2 linked regions of the Lonchura striata genome follow. The protein of the gene in region 2 interacts with the protein of the main gene of each other region in a pairwise test. Links are inferred from orthologs where the notes say so. Each region holds a gene or a part of one and is shown on either strand. Other genes may lie near its edges.

Region 1 (10,087 bases), on a different chromosome or scaffold from region 2:
CTAAGGAACATGGTGGACAGGAAGGTGATTCAGGAGAGCCAGAACAGCTTCACCAAGGGCAAATCCTGCCTGACCAACCTTGTGGCTTCATAGGATAGATGATTACACCAGTGAACAAAGAAGGGCTATGAACATCACCTTTCTGAACTTACAGCATCATTGTCTGTAAATTGATGAAATAAGGATTTGATGGTTGAGGAATGGGTTGAATCCAGAGGGTAATGATCATCATCTCAGTGCCCCCATAGACACTGGTGACATGTCCCCTAAAGGTACTGGCAGATGAAAAGCTGTGATGTGGCAGGTTGTGGCTCACAGCCCAGAAGACAAACATAGCCTTCTAAAATCAGTGTGGCCAGCAGGTCAAGGGCAGTGATTCTGCCTTTCTGTTCTGGTGAGATCCCAGGATCTGGAGGAATGTATCCAGCTCCTGAATCCTCAGCACAGGAAAGGCATGGATGTGTTGGAGGGGGGTCAAAGAACATGCACAAAAATGATGAGGGAGGGAGCTCATCTTATATGAAGAAACAAGAGAGTCAGAGTTGTTAAGCCTGGAGAAGAGAAGATTCCAGGGAGACCTTATTGCAGTCCTGCAATAGTTACTAAAGGGGGCTTTTAAGAGAGATGGGGACAGACTTCTTAATTGGGCCAACAGCAATGGAACATGGGGTACTGGTCTGAATTGAAAGAGGGAGGATTTAGACTGGCTTTAAGGAAGATTTTTACAATGACAGAGGTGAAACATAGAAACAGGCTGCCCAGAGTGGTGGTGAATGCTCCACCACTGGGAGATTGGATGGGGTTCTGAGCAACTTGGTCTATTTAAAGATGCTCCTGCTCATTGCAGGGGGGAAGGACTAGATGACCTTAAAGGTCCCTTCCAATCCAAACTGCTCAATAGTTTTTTAAAAATGTGACACGGAAACATTGTAGCAAACCTCTAATGACCTAAGCAGCCATCAATGATCCTGATATTTTAAAATGCACCAAGAGCAGAAAGTTACTTATTCCCTAAAGCTCCCAAGACAAACACAATCAGAATCATGCTACCAAAAACATTTGAGTTTTGTGGAAACGAGCTCAATTGCATGGTTGATGTTCCCAGAAGAACATGCATTTGCATGAGCAAATGCACATTCTTTTGTCTCAGTTTTTTCATGGTAGTTTTCAGTTTAATATTACTCATGACTGTCATGTTTAGAAATGTATCCAGACAATGTTCCTTGTAACACTCACAATTCCCATCTGAATTACCTCTATGCACTTTCTTTAAAATGTTTTTTGCAACTTCTCATCTAGGACTAATAAACAGAAAAATGAACTATGTTATGTACGTGAATGCTTATCTGTGTTCATTTCCAAAATAGTTTTGTAGTATTTGAGGTATGACTGACAAAGTATGAGTTTAAAACTGTCTTATACTATACATATTTATTAAAAAATATTTCTCTATAACAGAAAGTAGAAAACATTATACATTATATGATACATTATGGGATGCAAAGAAGTGTTCTCAGTTTCATTAGTCTAACTTGACAAGTCTGACTTTGACAATCAAAACATTATTTTCAAACAATATCCCACAAATATCTAGGATTATTGAGAACTAGTGGACAAACCTCATTTTTAAAAGTGCAAATAATCCACATATTTAATGAAGAAAAATTTTTTTAAACAGTGGCTCACATTTCTCTTCCATGAAGAGCTATTTGATCCATTTCCCAGAATATGCTTTGTACTTTGGCACAAATACAAAACTGAGCAAGAAATTTGTGCCACTTTAACATTTTCCCATCAATGTTATGAGTAACTACCCCAAAGCATACAATCCATTCTGATCCTTTCATCAAGTTAGAAAAAGAACTCCAGCAGCAAGTTGAAATGGAGGAATAAACAAAGCTAGATACAAAGTAGAAGACAGAACCTTTTAATGCTTATGTCCAGAGAGGCCCACGCTCAGAGAAGTTCAGAGAATTAAGAGCCTTGCTCAGCATGAGATACGCAAGAACACCAGCCACAACGGGAGTGTTTCAAAGCTGGTTTAGTTACTTTTTGAGTTAATGACCACACACATACAAAAACCAGGCTTCAAAGCAACCCCGCAAAGAAAAGCAGCCTTACAATGTAGAATTACCTTCACCAAATATTATTTGCCCTCATCAAATTAAAAAGGGGATACTAAGAGGAATCACTGCATTTACATGAGTTAGTTGCACAGTACAGGCAGCCCTTACAAGGACTTCCATTGGGAAGGTAATATTGTTGCTTTGCAATTGTGGGTCAGCAAAAAGTTCTGGCAATTTGCACAGAATCTCAACGACTGAGCTCATGGGCAAATCAGAATTTAGAACCATAAGCAAGCAAAACTTCTGAATTTTCAGTCACCACCAACTGATTTTTACTTCTATCAATAGCAACTGTGTTATTACACTTCAATTATGTAAATATAAAGGAGGAAGACTTAAAACGAACCCAAACAAACTTCCCATGAACAAGAGACTGCTATTTTAAAGACAGCTCTCTGTGTATTCGTTCTTGGTGACACGTTTTAACTGTCAAGTTGAGTCTGGCAACATTTCTGCTGCCTTCCTTCTCTGTCAAGGGATTCAATGCATGTTTAACCTGTCCCACTAGAAAGATATTTCGTAACTTCCTACACACACTCTGCAGTCTGTAGAGAACTGAAAAATGTACTGCAACTTAACACCAATGTGGACTGAAGAGAGAAAAACAAGAAGCGTAGGACTTCATTAGCTAAAGCTCTAACTGGACAATGTTACTATGAAACATTAAAAGCAAAGAAAAATTGACACAGCTCTAACATAAAGAGGCCATTCTATTCTATTCTCTTGTTTTCCTCTTTCTCTGTTACCAACAAAGTAGGAATTCCATTCTGAATTAATTGTTTTAATTATGCAAATCAACTTTTCCTCTACCAGCACCACAAACATGGACAGAAGCATAGAAAGAAACAAAAAATTCATGCGACATGATAAACCAGATCCACATGAACCAATACATCAAATAGTGGCTTTTTCAGAAACAGAAAAGCAGAGAAATATAAATAATGCTAAAATAAAATTTGCTTAAATTTACATTGTCAAACTAGGAACCAAGGATGAGTTTTATGTCCAAATGAGCTGTGTGTCTTGTCAAATGAAGACAGTTTTACTTCTCATCTTTTATTTTAGAGGCAACAATGAAGTTAAGAAAATAGTTTGGTGATACCATTAAGAAAACTGGTATCACCAAAATACTCACCACCTTGAAAAGCTGTAAGTACACTAGAAGGATTGAATGAGGAAAGCCTGAATGACTTAAAGGTGTGATCTATCCACCCTAACACTTTAAAGCTTACTGTAAGGAATTAAAAGATTTTAGTCATTTGCATGTCCAAATTTAGAAATTTAACTCCAGCTATACATTAAGCACTCTCAATATAAAAAACACAATAGATTGTCTGGGAGGACTGTAGACAAAAATTATTTAAGGACAAGATAATAAGACCAATTTAGGAGTAGTTCATTGTGCATTATACTATATTTGCATACTATTATATGTAGAAAGAAACAAGCTTTTTCTAATGAAATTTGGAAACAAATAACATTTATTTCAAGAAAGGGATAGACTTTCCTGTATCTCACACAGCAGGTTTTACAAAGGAAAAGATTTTCATACTGCAAAGCAACAGTGCTGGAAAGAAGGGAATGTCGAGGTCTAAACCACAATGATTAAATTGTCTCTGAACTACTACTGAGTTTTATTACACGAGGTTAATGAAAGCTCACTTTTTTGTAAGCACACTTAAACCTCAAAGAGTTCAGGTATTTCATGCTCAGCATCACACAAGGACCTCATGACAATGCACCTGATCATTTTTTAAATGTTTTTTACAAGTTGTAACTTACAGAGCAAGCAGGGAAAGATGACATTTCATTTCAGGATCCGTAACTCATCCCACACCTCTTAGAGACAGAGGAAAACATGGAAGGGCAAATGATCTGCCTGATAATCATGTAGCAACAAACTCTTGAAGAATACATCTTGAAAGGGTGTTGTCATAACCTCACACCTTGATTTCTATGTAGGAAAGGATGCTAGACACACAAGTAATAAATTTTATTTTTCCATTAAAAAATCAAATAGAATAACATGAAAGATATATCACACATAGCAAGTAGGTTCTGCAGTTATTGGAAACATTACCAGAAGAGTAAGATGACAGAAATGTGGTGGAATTACCACACAAGGACCAAAATAACCAAATAAAAAACTTTCAGTGCTTAGCTATATTTCCACTTAGAAAACACAGTCCTGTTTTCAGTGGTGCAAACTTTCTCCTTATCCACAATAAAATATTCTCATATTTGAAGGCTTAATGTATTTTCCACTGTAGATTTTGCTTTCTTCCTTTCTAGACCTTTAATAATTACCACGTCCCTCCGAGTTTCTCCTGCCAGCCCACACACATCCCGCTGTGCTTTCAGTACCTCCCGAGACCAAGCGAACGGAGGGAGGACGTACAGCAGGGTGAAGAAAAGGTGTTTTGGGTTTCCCCCCTCCTTCGCATTATCCTGCTCTGATTTTGATTGGCAATAAACTCAGTGAATATCCCCAGTTCGAGTCTGCTCTGCCCACGACAGTAATGGACCAGTGTCCTTATCTCAGCACGTGAACCTTGTGCTATATTTTCTCTCCCCTGCCCGTGTGCGGAGGGGAGCTCTGGAGGAGCTGCGCAGAGCCCCTGACAGACACGCAGCCGGGGTCAGCCCACCGCAGCCACCCGCTCTCAGCCTTCTCCCCGCTGCACGTCCTCGCAGACGCACCTAGAGCAGGGCACCGGCCTCACCGCCACTCACCCAGCAGCTCCGGGGTGCCGTGCAGGTGCCTCCATCCTGCGCGGGCGGGCAGGGAGAGCCCCGCGCCCAGCGCCGAGCGCCCGGCCCGCAGCAGCCGCAGCAGCCGCTCCCCGCCGCCGCTCAGCCACAGGGACGCCGCCATCTTCCCCCGCCCCGACCGCGCGGGGCTGCCCCGCTGACCGCCTGAGCAGAAACAACCGGGCACGCCCCCGGAGCCCCCCGCGCCCCGCCCGCGGCACCGGCCGTGGGATCGGCCGCCTCGATCGCCGCGGCCACGGGCGAGTGCGATCGCACGGACATCCGCGCCCAGCCTGGCTGCTCGTCCCCCGGGCGCCCCCGCATCTCCTGTAGTCCCCTCGGCCCGCGGCGAGCAGCGGCCTCTCCATCCCGCCCTCCGGGGCTCGGGCCGGTGCCCACGGCCGGGGCGTGCCCAGCGCTCCGCAGGCGCCCGCGCGGGCGCCCCAAGAAGGCCCGAGCGAGGCCCCCATGGCGGGCGGCGGCGGGGACGCGGCGCAGGTAACGGGGCCGGGGCGGCGGGGCGCGCCGCTCCGAGGGCACCGGCACCGCGGGCTCGGCTGCGCTGGAGCCCCGCTCACTGCCGGCAGCCTCGCAGCTGCTCGCTAGCAGGGACGCCCTGCGAGTACCGGTGGGTGGCAAGCTGAGCACGAGCAGGAAGTGTGCCCTGGAGGAAAGTCAGGCAGCAAGGTCCAGGCGGAGTCAGTGTCCAGCATTCCAGGAGCAATGTTCATAAAAGCATGAGTTCGGCCTCAGCACGGGGATGAACTTCTTTACGCTGAGGCTGGCAGAGCACTGGAATAGGCTGCCCGAGGGAATCGTGGAGTTTCCCTCTCTGGAAACACTCAAAGCCCAGCTGGGCTTTCACCCGCTGGGGTGACCCTGCTTCGGCAGGGGGATTGCACTGAATTGTCTCCAAAGGGCTCTTCCAACCCAGCTATTCTGTGCGCCCACACAAACGTTATAAAATTTAGTACAGAATGTTGCCAGCTGTTAGTCTGGCTGCATCGACAGGAGTCATGGCTCTTTTTATGTTAACTGGGTGGTTTAGGTTTGTTTTCTGATTTGGTTTGTGGTTTTTTTTTGTTTTGTTTTGTTTTGTTTTTTTTGTTTTGTTTTGTTTTGTTTTTATTTGGTCTCTGACTGGGGCTTTATCTGTCATCACATCACAACCAGAACATGAGCTGGCAGTGCTGTGCTTCAGCAAACACTGAGCATATGGAGGCATTGTCTGGATGAGGCTCAGAACATCTCTCCAATTTGTATGTGACACTGGTGGAGAGACCAGCCCAAGCTTCAAAACCAGCAAGAACTGGCAGCAGGGAGATGAGAGGTATCAGCAGCCTAGATAATGTGGCCTGCCAGGAAAGTGGGAGGGAATCTAGCTCATCATAAACAAAGCAAAGCAAAAAAAGAGCAGCAGATTGAGTTGTCACAATACATAAAACATTGTCACAGAGGTGAGAGGGAAGACCATCTCCTGCATGTCCATGATCTTTGGTAAGAGAGAACAAATCCCACTGTCACTGGAGGTTGTAAAGATGAGGTTAAAGTAGGAGATTCGAAACGTTGTCAAACGTGCCCCAGGCTGCCATCTCCAGTAATTCACCTTTCCAGTCTCTGCCTCACGCTCCTGTTCCATGCTGCCTCCCCACCCTTACTTCTGCAAGTCCAACTCTTCTTTGTAAACATTTCAGCAAAGGTATTGGCACCAAGCACCTGCTTACCATTTCTACTGTGTGCTGCTATTGTTTTGGGTCTCTCTATTCTGTTGGTGTTGACAAAATGCTCCCCCCCCCCATGTGGATTCTTGGTGCTGAACAAATATTTTAATTGGAAATTATTTTGATGGGCATTAGTGACCAGGGTGAGCACTAGAGCAGCTAATCATTTTAAAGCTTCTAGTTGGTGCAGTAAAAAAAAAAAAGAATCCTACATAAAAGCACACCATAAAAGCAGCTCTATTACAGTGGTAATGTTGGTAGAAATTCTAACCTCTGACACCAGAGATACCTTTGGTTAATAGATATGGATATTAATGTAATAAAAAATGGAATAGGGAAAAACTACAAGATGGGTTTTTTCCCTTCTAAAGAAGTATTAAAATAATGTAATTTGCTTTTTGACTAAACTGCATGTAAAGTAACTTTGTGTTGTAAAAATGTAGGAATGTAAAGCCCATAAAATAATTTGCATATATTTTCCGTGGTATTTTTGAGTGCTGTTTAAAAATGTATATTGACTAATAAAGTCTGTCTGAAATTTGTAAATCAAGCAAAATAAACCTACAGAAAAACTGATTTAATAGGAAAACTATTAGTCAAGCTTTTAAAAATTGATGTTAGATGCATTTATTTTCCCCTTTTTTGTGCAATAGTCCATAACATAATCCTGCTGGTGTAATATCTACGGGCCACTGCGCTCAAATAAATTTTAGATGAGACTTCTTCTGTGAAGGATAGTCAGACTTGCACCTTATTTGGAGGTTTTGTTTGTTTCAAGGTGTAATGTCCCTGGCAGAGCATAAAGGGCATTGTGTAAACATGCAGTTATTTTGTAATTGAAATTCATTAGCATAAATTAGACCATTTTGCTGTAGTATGAAGGTACTAATCCTTTAAACCCAGTTTGAGAGCTTGAATTCTTAGGTTTGAGGTGTTTCTGATGGTTTTTCATTGATTTATTTATTTGCTTTTTAGGATGGGTTACATCCAAGGAATCTTATCCCAGAGCTTTGTAGACTATTTTATGGTTTAGGCTGGGTAACGGGAACTGGTGGAGGAATCAGCTTGAAACATGGGTAAGTAATGATGAAAGAAATAATGTGGTGGTGAGAGAGAGGTTGGCTGTGTTTCGTAGTTGGTGAGGGCATTTCAGTTCCATGAGAAATATTTGCAAGTCAAGAGTGAGCAAGAAGTTAGAGGGGGAAATGAGCAGTTTGCCAAAATTAACCATATAGGAGGAAGGTGAATTGTCTGAATTAATTATTGCAGACCCTTCAATGGGGAGAGACAATTTCAGAGAGTGACCTTATTCTGTACTTTTCCTACCTTTGTTTGAGGTAGATGAATTGTCTTTAAAGAACAATGTGTTCCCCCTTTTTCATTTCACTGACTGTGAAATGAAAAATGGAATTTATAGTGGATTACATCAGGCTTTCAAATGCCTGTGGTTAAATAAGATCAGTCTCACCCTGGATGTATTTTACAGGCCAGATATTTCCTCTAAGAAGGAAATTCCTGTTCCACTGAGGTCATTTCTAAGGAGAAAAATATTTCACATATAACTAAATCATGACAGGTAACAGCAATTTTGGGTCTGTATCTCCTATGAAGAAGCACCACTTTGTGTTTTAATTTGCCTATCTCCTGCCTTTTCATAATCCCCAATCCTTTTAGTGGGAACAGAGCTCCTCTCAGTGGCCACTGGAAAAAAGGATAAGTCTTCATTCTGTAAAAGGCCTTGCACAGTGCCTGCAATTCTGTACCCAGTCACAAGGTTGTGACACGATCTTGAAAGTATCTGACCTCTCATTTTTCCAGTATACATTTGCATGCAGGCACAAACAGCCATTGTATTCCAAGATGTATTTTATATATATATAAAAAATAAATAACCCCTAAACGCTCATACTTGTGCTGTTTGAACTTTGTGCAGGTCATTTCACCTCCCTGCTTGATTTTGCAAGCAAAGCCACAACAGTAATAATAATGAGATGAATGAAAAGAGGATAAATTCTGTGGGAAGATCTTTTTAGCTCTAATTTGTCATCAGTAGCTAAATGTAGCCTATTTTCTTTGTCATTCCAGTACAACTCCTGTTGGGTTTGGCAAGACAAATGTCATTATCAGAGAACACACTAATATAGTAATATAGTATTCCTTAGTAGTTCTCTAGCTGGTTTACTTGGCATTGTTAGAAAGGAAAATGTAAAAGAACAGTTGAAATTTGATTCAAATATAACAACTGTTTTTACCAGGTAATCTTAATCAGCCTTACTCACAGAGCAGTTCATATCAACCATCAAGAAAAAAAAAAAAAAATGAAAATTTGGACTTGGCATAGCATGTTAAAAATGAATGTAGAATTCTTTGTGAGCTATCTTGTATTTGAAGACTTTATTTTGTCATCATATTTTCTCGTTATGGTTAAGTTCTAAAAAAGAAAAAATCTGGTTTAAGAAAAATTTTTTGTCTGTCATAAGTAGCTGAGTTTACCACTTGATTTCATATCTTTCTCATGCAAATGAATCAAGATTAAATTAATGCAATGCCAGCAGTGTTAATTCATTAATGTCAAAAATTACAAATATGATAAAGCCACATTTTTTTGTGCTTCACAGACATTTTACCTCTATGAATAGTACATCATCTTAAGAGTTTTATTTTTGGAAGAATTAAAATCACAGAATTGTTTAGGTTGATAAAAATCCTTAATATCATCAAGTGTCCAACCATAAACCTACAACTGCCAAGTTCTCCACTAAACCACATTTCTAAGCATGATGCCTAAGTGTCTTCTAAAATCTTTCAGAGATGATGAGCCAAGTGCTTTCCTGGGCAGCCTATTCCAATGCTTGGTAACCTTTTCAGTGAAGAAATTTTTCCTAATATCCAATTTAAACCTCTCCTGATGTAAATTGAGGTAATTTCCTCTCATCTTGTCACTGGTTACCTGGCAGAAGAGACCAACCTCACCTGGCTACAGCCTCCTTTTAGCCAGTTGTTGAGAACAAAGAGGTCTTCCATGAGCCTTCTTTCTTCCAGGCTAAACACCCCCAGCTCCCTCAGCTGCTCCTCACAAGACTTGTGCTCCAGACCCTTCACCAGCTCCAATACTCTTGTCTAGAACTACAAATACCCCATGGTCCATAGGAAATGTGTCTGTAACTTGACTAATTATTCACTAGATGTCTCTGTGCTCCTTAGTACGTGATTGCTGAAGCCAAATATGATTGCAGTTCAGAGAGAGAATATAATTGGGGGTTTTGTGCTAATAATGAAAATAATGCAGTACGATCTTGAAATCATTTTAGTTTCAATCAGTTTTTACAGTTTTTCTTCATTTAGTCCTTGCAAGAAGTGATGCATTTCTACTTAAATTTAATTACACTGAATTAGTGAATTAGTGCTATCAACTCAACTAAACATGGAACTGCACTAGAAACCTAACCTCCACAGTTGAAAAAAAAGTGTTTACAGTGTTGCATGTTG
Region 2 (10,524 bases):
GAGTGGCTTGGACCCATGAACCAGTGCAGAAAGATGGTGAAGCAATTGGGACAGTGAAGACAAAGCTATTTTTCTCCACATCTGTTGCTGAGTATGTCCTGTGGTGCTACACTGTAGTCATTCACTCTTCTTGTCATCTCTGTCAACAGCTGATTCAGGGACCACTTAGCCTTTTCTAAATGGGTTATTAATTTTGGAACTCCATAAGAGTTTGCACAGAAAGCCAGGCAATCTGATTAACACTGTGCTAGCACAGTTTATACATTAACAATCTGGCATCCCATCACCAAAAAGCCCATGGATAGCCATGCCTACAGCTCCCAGAATTTCCCTCCAGTCCTCAGCAAATCCTTCTTTTACCTCCTTCCAGTCTGTTCAGAGCAGTGGTCCAAGCTCACTGCAGCATTAACAGACCTGAAGGCTTTTTCCAGGACTCTGTGAACCTGATCCTGCCAGAGCACACAGCTCTTTTCACTCCCAGTGAAGCCACTAGGTCCCATTACCAGCAGTGGCCTGAGTAGCAGTAAGATAATGCTATCATAAATTCTGTATTTTGCAAGTGTCCTTAATGATCATGGTCCTTGTGCTTAATGGGACAAATCCAAGAAGAAAGGATCATACTGTAATAAGTGATACAAGGATGCTCTTCACCACCACTTGCCATTTTTGTAACCAAGGAAACATACCCTACATGTTTATTCAGAGAGCAAATGGGAACAACAATATATCACCCAAGGCTTTTTCTGTATCTATAGTCTGCTGGTCACTCCAGCAAAAGGAGATCACTCCTATTTCCTCTCTAAACTTTTATAAAAGCAAGAATATGGGAGACAAGGCTCTATTAACAGCCTCACTAAGGAAAGGCTGAAGCCTGGACATATCAGAGGATCCATGGGATACAGGAGCACTTTCATTTTTTCCTAGCTGTGAGAAAGTCTTCAAATTGGCATTTCTGCTGACCTTGGTATTAAAAAAACCAAACCCACATTATCAAAACCCCTCTGAAGCACACTCCCCCACACCAAAGGAAAAAAAGAAAATTGGGAAATGAGTACACAGCAAAAGAATAAGTTACTCAGTGAACACAGGAAAGCTGTATGCAGATAGGAGCATAAAGGCACAAAAAATAAATTAAGATCTACTGACAGCCTGCTAGATTCTTTGACTTAAAACATCTCTCATCCCACCACAGCTGCTGAGCACTCACTAGACTTTGCTGTAACTTCCAACAATGCTTAGAGAGATTTTTACTAATTCATTTTTTTAATTGTTTATGAAAGCTTACAAAATGCTTCACTACCCCTTGTGCTTCCCCTTCTCCCAAATTGTACCACAGACACAATGGAAAACCTGCTAATCAGTAAAATACAAGATGTTCCTGGATAAGAATGGAGACATGCAAATAGCATTTACTCAAGAGACTATCACAACATCAGGAAAAATTTTAATTAGGTGGTATTTAATTGCATGTTACATACCCACAAGACCCCGCAAGGCTCACCAGTTAACATAATTAAGCAGGGTGGGTTTTTTTAAAAGCTGTCTAGATCAATACTGCAGTTACTAAATTATGAGGTATGTTTAGTCATCAGCATAAAGTCAGGTATACTAGGGCTTATACTATGAATGGCTGCTGAAATAAAACCAAGATATTCCCTTTTTAGTTATTAGTCCAATTTACCTGACAGTTCTTCAGCAGTCTATGAAATGGCTGGTGGTGTTGGTATGCTTTAACACAGAAAATATGGTGTTAATGAAAAACTACAAGCTACTATGTGAGACCAGTTAATTTGCAGGCACTCTTCTAATAAAACAGCAGAAGAATTTAAAATTTTTCCATCTATCCAAGGACTTAAGTCTGTAGATAAGACAGACATACATTTCTTCTTTTGAGAAAATAACTCTGAAGTTATTGATGAACTAGTGGTGAGAGCAGAAAATAAGAAAGGTGGGTCTTTTGTCTCCATCTCCTCTGGGAAAAAGGATGGCTATGTAATTAAAAGCATCCCATTGGAAACTGGGGAGAGCTAAGGAGAATTCCTACCTCCTTTGCAAATCCCAGCATGTGATGGAACTAATTGCCAAGCATAAAAAGAGCCAGTGTCTGCCAGGGTCTCATTAGATGGGAAGCTCTTTGGAACAGGAACTCTTTTAAACATGCTTCAGCACAGAGCTTAGCACAAGACTGAATTTTGAAGAAGTTAAAAATGAAACAGTTCCAAATTAAAGTTATTTTCTTGGTTTTATCTAAATTTCTATTTTAGAGTGAGCTCGCCTACTCTACGGCATTCACCTGAGAACACACAAAACCAAAATATTAATCTGAGTGGCCACCTGTGAATATGCTCCTCATTATTATAACAGAGTGATAATAATGAGAGTGCTTAAGCAGTGGGACAGACTATACAATGGGGCTGACATGGCTCTGTTCTTATTTTAAAACTCAGCTGATTTTTGAGTTGAGCTATTTGATCTAACTTTGCAGTTTGCCTTGCTTTGAGTAGGAGGTTTAATCACATGGCATACAGACATCTCTATTATTCCTTGACTCGGTGACTTAGCATTAAAAAATGCCTAAGCACAAAATACGTGTTTCCAGGCACATGGATTGTAGGGCATTGTCCAGCCTTGATCAAACGTTGTATTTCAAGGCTCTGCATGATTATTTCAATAATCATGGCTGTCATGGCAAAAGTATGGCTGTGCTGCTTCCCCCGTTTTGCTGAGCATGGCTGTTAAAACCAAGCCAGTAGATCCTGTTCAATGAGCATGTTCCCCACCCACTCCAGGGCAAAGCCTACCTTAATTTTACAGCTCTGCAAGGAGCTTAAAGAGAGACCCCAAGGCTAAGATACTGCTACATTCTGGCACAGGCACAGCTCAGTCATGCAGCTTTCTTTGAACTATCTCTATCACAAGACTCATCTTCATAATCTCACAGAACCTGTAAGCAGATCATGCCAATGAATAGCAGCAGTGTGTGTTACTTACTCTTCTGAGTAAGAATCTTCCCCACCTTTGTGGTATTTTACAGGGAATCAGGCCCTAACTCAGGTACAGAATGAAGTGCAGGCACAACTATTAACTCCCAATTCCTGTCTTTGCAGCTCAGAGCAGAAGTGGCAGACTTCACAACCAAGAATTTCTTAATGCTGAAAACAGTTTGCCCAGGACAAACTCACACTTATCTAGCAAGAGACTGGGAAAACAGTTGTCTGAACAAGAGAAGAAAAGCAACATTTTAGTTTTGTTGTCTTTGTGGCTCATTCATTGAAAAGTCAGTGTTTTTCAGCTCCCCTATCTTCATTTCTCATGGAGAACATGTATTTCGTGTTGGCAAAATTTTTAATTAAAATGTCCTTAGTTTTCACTGTTGTTTTAGCGTGGAAAAAAAAAATAATCAAACCAAGTTAAAAAACAAAGCAGAAGGCAAGATCTTTTAATCTTCCTAGTGCCCTGGGAACTACACAGTAGTCCAAACTTGTCAGAGCAAAGTATCAGCTAGTTTCCAGAATGTAATATAATCCACAAGCTGGGCCTTGAAAAATCCATTTGCTTACTTGCCTCTAACAAGGGAAGTTGCTTTTCTTGGTGAACTAGTAAGAGGGGTATTCATCATTATATGAACAGCAATCTTTTCTTTAATACAGCCACATGAAAGCTGTCCTGTACAAAGCTGAATTAATAATGGTAGCTGAGATAATTCTATTCTCTCTTCCAACCCATAGGCAACCTGGTCCGAGGCCACTGCTCACAGCTTAACGAATCACCAGCAAAAAAAGCCCTGATGTGATCTGTGATGCTTTCAGTCTCTGGGCAAAGCTTTAACCAAAGAAAGCACCTGAACCATTCTGCATTAAATGAAATCACAAAGTAGCAAAGCTGGGAAAGGACAGAAACATCTAGAAATCTCAGAGTTCTGAAAATGTGAAAGAAAAAAGAGAAAAATATAACGTATCTGGTAGCACAGAAGACATCAGAATCAAATATCGACATCAAAAGCAAAGTGTGATTTTAACATCCACTGGCTTGTCACCAAGTGCTTCTTCCAAAAGTGAAAAATGTTATGTTACTGGTTAAGTCTCTTATATCTCCTTTCCCTGGTTATCAGATATTCATTGAAATTTCCGAAGTGCCCACAAGTGGAGCCTGCCCTCCCCAGCAGAGAAGCAACTGCAGTTATGTCTCAGATGATAAGCCCCAAGTAAGTGAACTTATTTTTCTAAGATACTTTGTCTGACAAGCAAAACTTTGTCTCCTCAGGATTGAGGAGTGCAGTGTTTATCTTGCCTTAGTTCTGGTCAGCTGAGCTGGAAACCTCCATGGACACTAGTTAATAGCCAGCTGTTGTCTCTGCACAGTCCTTAGCCACTTCAGCAATATCTCTGAAGTAGGGTCAAACTTTGGAGTCATCACCTGGTGGGTTTAACTAAGAATCATAAAATACACTGAGTTGGAAGGGACCCATCAGGATCACCAACTCTTTGCACTGCACAAGACACCCCAAGAACTCCAGCCTGTGCTTGAGCTCATTGTCCAAATGCTCCTTGAGCTCGGGCAGGCTTGATGCTGTGACCCTGCGGAGCCTGTTCAGTGCCTTATCACCCTCTGGGGAAAAGGTTTTCCTGATAGCCAACCTAACCCTCCCCGCGACTCGGATTCCTGGCGTTCAGAACTTCTGCACCCTTTGCGCATGTGATAAAAAAAAAAAAGTAGAAACTTCAGTTTTTCCTTCTTAGGAAAAAGGAGGAAAACTTCAGTTTCTTCTCCTTAGGAAAAAGGAGGAAAACTTCAGGTTTTCCTCCTCGGAGAGCCCCGCAGCTCCGAGCAGGGCCTCAGCCAGGACGTGGAGCAGACATTCGGCTGGAGAACGTGCGAGAGGAAAGGATACGGGGAGGGCTGCCCGGAGTGCCCGCGGCTCCACCCGCCCCAGGAGCCCCCCGGCCCCGCTCCCCGGCCCCGGGGCAGGGCAAGCCCTACCTTGAGGCTGACGGCCGGCAGCTCCATGGCAGCGGCCCCGGGGCCGCTCGGTGCGGCAGGGCCGGGCTCAGGGGCGGGGGGAGCCGGGACACCGCCCCCGGCCCCGCCCGGCCCGGCCGCGTCGGGCGCTGCCGGCGGTGCTGGGCCCTTGCAGAGCTCGCTGAGCTAGGCGTGTCCAGGGTGCTCTGCCTGCCTGGTGTGAACTGTTATAAACGCAAATTAGTCCAGCCAAATTAAAAGTGAAATAATAAAATGTTTATTTAGGATCGAATTCTTCCCGGGCCCAGAACAGGCCCTTGTCGGAGCTCGCTGAGGGGCGGCTGCTTAGGCGTGTCCCGTCAGGGCAGACAGCACAGGTGCTCTGCCTGCTTGATATGAACTGTTATAAACGCAAATTAGTCCAGCCAAATTAAAAGTGAAATAATAAAATGTTTATTTAGGATCGAATTCTTCCCGGGCCCAGAACAGGCCCTTGTCGGAGCTCGCTGAGGGGCGGCTGCTTAGGCGTGTCCCGTCAGGACAGGCAGCCCGGGTGCTCTGCTTGCTTGATATGAACTGTTATAAATGCAAATTAGTCCAGCCAAATTAAAAGTGAAATAATAAAATATTTATTCAGGATTGAATTCTCTCTGAGCCAGCCACAAGGAAAAGGACAGTGCCGAGCCCGGGTTCGGCGCTGGGTGCATGACAGGAAGGAGCCTCTGGCAGAGGTTCCCCTGGACACACACAGACCACACTCCTGGGCCCTGCAGTTCTTACAGGAAATTTTCCGCCCGAGGCCAGGATTTCAGCCTTTTCTTTCTATTCAGAGTCCCACATATTCATAAAGTTCTTTTCTCCGAGCCGGGGTTGAACAATCCAGGTCCAGGTGTGGACGATTTTTCCTGATTTTCCTGGCGTTCAGATGTATCAGCCCGGAGGACTCCAGTGATCCCAATCTTGGATTGTTACCAGGATGATCAGCTCCCAGGTCCTTTGGGATTGATCAGCTCCCAGGTCCTTTGGGACTGATCAGCTCCCAGGTCCTTTGGTATTATTCAGCTCCCAGGTCCTTTGGTATTATTCAGCTCCCAGGTCCTTTGGGACTGATCAGCTCCCAGGTCCTTTGGTATTGATCAGCTCCCAGGTGTTCCAGCCCATCTCCAGACCGGCCACATGTATAAGATTGTAAATGAGGCATTGTCCAACAAAACCCGGCTCTGGTGTAACCGAATATGTGTGGGGGGGCAGCTCACAGTGCTGGTGTGTGTAGTTTGTAATAACTAAATATTACACGTGCCAAATCATATTTCCCTTGATTCAATACAACAATATTTCATTAGCGCAAATTATAATAATGCATAACAGAATTATCTTGATAATGCCTCTTTTATGTGTAGTAAACATAATTTGCGCCATTCCTTGTATGAAATATCTAATATTGGATACTTGACAACCCTAACAATTCTGTGAATTTGTTTCAAAAGCCACCATCAAGTTAAAAATATGCATATATAAGTTTCTTGGTTGCAAACACCCAGCTAAAGTGTGCACAGATCAGTTTGTTGGCTGCAAAAAGGCAGCCAAACTCTTCCTTCTATTTGCACATGCAATGTAGTGAGACAAGGTTGGACATTATACTTTGGTTGTAATCAGTGTCTGGGAAAGCTGTGTGCAAAGGACTTAGCAGCTTTCTGCAGGAAGAGTTCTTGTGCATATATCAGTGGTCTGACCAAAATTTAAGGAGTTGCAAAGAAACTGTTGATAGACACCAACAAAAAGGTTATTTTGAGGTGCTAACTGTGCTCAGCTACGTCACCCAACAGCTAAGTCAAGTTAAGGTCAGTCTTAGGTGTTGAGGCAGTAGCTAGGATGGCTGGCAGGTACACAGTTGATTCCCTTGGCCCTGGATTTTTCCCCTAGAACTCAATGACTGTATCCTTTGCCTAAAATCCTGGTGCAAATAACAAGTTCTTCATTTCTTATTCCTAAAGAAATCTGGTTTCATTTTAGAGCTAGAGAAGTTGCTAAGTGACCAATTCAACCCCACACAGTTCAGCTGTAATTTACCATTTCCTGTGTAGTTCATACCAGCAGCCTTCTCCCCAAGTCTAGCAAATGAAGTAACAGAACCCAGAGGTCAGGATGACATTTCTCAAACCCTCCTATCCTTGCCTAATGTGTGCTGTCTGCAGTGTAAGGCTGTGATGTCTTATTAGGTTAGTTCCTTTCTTGTCATTATTCCTTCTTAAAGAAAAGATGGGGCCTCTGAGAAATTAGCTGGGTCAGAGGTTCATTGCAGAAGTTGGATGTGGAAATGCATGTGTCATCCTTCAGTCTCATTTCCAGTTCAAGCAGTGAGAATTGTGCAGTGCTGAACCTACCATCAGACATTCTCAAACAAGCCACAAATGTAGTGCTATCCAGCCTGTCCTTGACCGTGTCCTGAGTGCTATTGACTGCTTCAAGCAGCACACTTCAAGATTTCCCAAGGCAAAGCATTAAATGCCAAAATGAAATTACCTAGAAAATGCTAGGAAGCATAGAGGATAAAACTAACTGGCTGCATAGCTAAGAACAAAAGTAAAAAACCCAAAAAGGCTGTGAAAGTCCCCTCAGGAATCTCTGAATATGTCACTTTCAAATGAAAGATTGAAATATAACTCCTATTTCCTCATGACACATGAGCTGTGCCTTCACTTCCATTATTATGTCTTGCATGGACACATTACTGGGTCTTGCAGGGAAGTCCTGTCTTTATCTACAGAAGTGGTGGTATCAAATAACATCAATGCTAGTGGTTCCAGTAATGCCAAGGAATGACTGGATTTCAACATAAATGACAAAAATATGTGACACTTGGGATGGGGGAAAAGCTAAAGAGCCTGAATAGGCACACTGCTGGCTCAGTGCTGTGTGCGAAGTGCACTAGGATGCCCTTCTGCCCAGACAGGTATCTTTCAAAGGAGAGCTGTTTGTTAGGAACATAAATTCTGCTGTCCCAGTTGAATGATAAGCACTGATAGGATGTAGCATCATGTGGGCGTCTTTGCTCCCTTCAGCTTTCTCACTCAGCCTGAGACAGAGTCTCATTATCATTTATGCAGCGTGAGCCATAATTTGAATTGATGTGTCCACTGTTCAATGCAAAGCATTTCCCCTTGTACAATAAAAGCACTTGATTTCATTTTGTTCATCAGTGTATCATGCAGTTAATTCATCCCTGCTTATTATATCCTGGGCTTGCATGTCAGGGACTCAAGGGATTTAGGAATTATCTCATGGATATGAAAGCAATGAGAGCTGTGACTGACATTATGCATTTGTATGTCTGTCACACCTGTGTGATCTGGGGGTTGCTTGTTTTTTATTTCTACATTGTGCTGGTGTACCTTGTAATTTGCCTCTCTGTGTAACCACTGTCTCTCTTCCCTTCCCCAGGTTTAATGAAGAAACACAACATGGTGAGGAAGATAAGCAGTAAGTTAAAGAAGGGCTGCAGGGAGAAGCAGGTTACCCAGGAGACTGGATAAACAGATTTTTGTGACTAGAAGACTGCTCCAGGTGATTTCAGCTCACTGCAACCAATGCCCAGCAATTATCTGCTTTATGCAAAAGCTGTTGTTTTTTAAAATATTTTGGTTTGCCTTGTGCAGACTGAGTAAAAGCCTAATACACAGCTGGATCTCCACACTGATAGCAATAAAAGTGAGCTAATAAAGCAGAAATGCTTTCCTTTGCATTTTCAGGACACTGTACCCTTGGTGTGTAAGATGATAGCAATTCCATAGGTTAATTCCATAGAGTTAATAAAATTGCTTCTGCTGTCCTTATCTGGCCCTTGGAGGTGGAGACAAGCTCCCCTCTCATAGTTCTGCCCTTCTCCCCCTCTCTAGGGGTTTAGTCTGAAGACAACTAAAGACTGCAGCTGACACCAGCATCTCTAAGTTTTGCCCCTGGCTATGGAGTTGAGAGCAGTGAAGGCACCAGCTCAGCACAAATACATATATATATTAGCCACAGAGCCTTTCTGAATAAGTAGTGAGGAAGGACATATAGAAGTTGCCCGGCTCTACAAACTCCCTTTTAAATCCCAGTGGGAAATCAGCAAACAGAATCATTATCTGTATTGGAGGGGAAAGTGAAGGTATTTTGGATGCTGGTGGAAAGCCTCCTCCTGCAATTGCAATGCAAAACAGACTATGGCAAGGTGATTTGGGGAGTGGAGAGGGTCACATTAATGTGGTGTCTTGACAAATGCACTTGGAAGTCCTTCCCAATCTCAGCAGCAATGAGCTGCTCCTCTGATTTTCTAAGATCTAACTAAAGCTTTGAGATATCATTAAGAGACCACTCTTCAAGGTTCACTGGCACTCCAGAAAATGAACTGAAGCACCAGAAGTGGTTTTATGGAGCACATATGCTCACTCAGAATGTTCCAAGAAAACAACAGCCCTCGGGTTTTTTTCTGATAAAAAATATGAAAGTAATGTATTTTCCAGGCTTCATGTAGCAGAGAATGACTGGCATGGATGAGAACAATTTGATATAGCATGGGTTTCAAATTGAAGCACTTTCACACACTGTGGATTTACAATGGGGTAATTACTGGGGGAGGGAAGGAAGGGAGAGAGTTTCAATAAAACACCTCCAAGCGAAAATGAATGCAGACTATTACAGACCTGAGACAGAATAATTCCCAAGTGTTTTAATTTGTGCTTCCACTCCTTGCCTCTCTTGCAGTCATCATTTTGGCAACTACCAGCAACATGCCTGAGATCCAACAGCATTTGCAGAGCAGGCAGCTGCTGAAGTGATTATGTCAAATCAGCATGCTCTTCTCTCTTTTCAATGTTTAATGATTCTCACCCTTGGAGAAGCAGTTTAAGGTGATGCATAACCTTTGGACTCTCAGGGACAACTAACAGCATTAGCTATAGAATAGGACTTTGGGTGGGACTTTGTCACTCACCTTTATTGCATGCATGCTCTGTGATTAACTTTAGAAATTATTGCACAAAGTCCTGCTATGGCTGGTTTGGGCCTACTCCAAAGTCCTTTCAAGACAATAGTCAGTCTTGCAAGAGCTCTGACTTAAATTCTCTGGGGGCAGCAGAGAAGCTGAGCTTGTGTGAATTCTTAATTTGAGTTTCTTAAACAATCAGTTGAGAAGAACATATAAATCAAGTCTTGCTTGACATTTGTATCTCTCTCTTGTTCAGACTTAATGCCCTCAAAGGCAAAACTTACTGAGAGCACTGTGACTACAAGATACTGGGAAGAAAGGGGAAAGCTGCTAAAAGTAACCCGTGATGGTGATGCTCTGCAGCTGCTGTCATGCCTTTGAGACAGCACAGAGTGGCACTAAGAAGCTTTGCTGTGCTCACAGGTGGGTTGGACTTGTACAAATATTGCCCTGGGGTTTTATATCACAGGCTGCTCTTGCATTCTACACTTTTGCATGTTATTTACTCAACAGCTTTCCTTTGCACTTTGCAGTTGTGAAGTCAGTAGTCGATCTGGCTGACCTGTAATTCAGGCTGATTCCTTCCACGCTGCTGTGGC

The links.
Region 1: the proteins of AGTRAP (region 2) and PDHX interact in binary tests that used the Homo sapiens proteins (3 or more experiments, as listed by UniProt). The two-hybrid records come from large-scale screens. The link is inferred for Lonchura striata from reciprocal best matches to the Homo sapiens genes AGTRAP and PDHX.

What each region holds. Positions count from the first base shown.
Region 1 is NC_134608.1:43,715,784-43,725,870, forward strand, and holds the start of PDHX (pyruvate dehydrogenase protein X component, mitochondrial), read right to left. Parts: upstream 5,016-10,087; 5' UTR 5,002-5,015; coding exon 4,860-5,001; intron 1-4,859. Other genes in the region: APIP (methylthioribulose-1-phosphate dehydratase), read left to right, coding at 5,346-5,375, 7,574-7,674.
Region 2 is NC_134626.1:5,564,934-5,575,457, forward strand, and holds the start of AGTRAP (type-1 angiotensin II receptor-associated protein), read right to left. Parts: upstream 5,055-10,524; 5' UTR 5,008-5,054; coding exon 4,981-5,007; intron 1-4,980. UniProt on the Homo sapiens protein: Appears to be a negative regulator of type-1 angiotensin II receptor-mediated signaling by regulating receptor internalization as well as mechanism of receptor desensitization such as phosphorylation.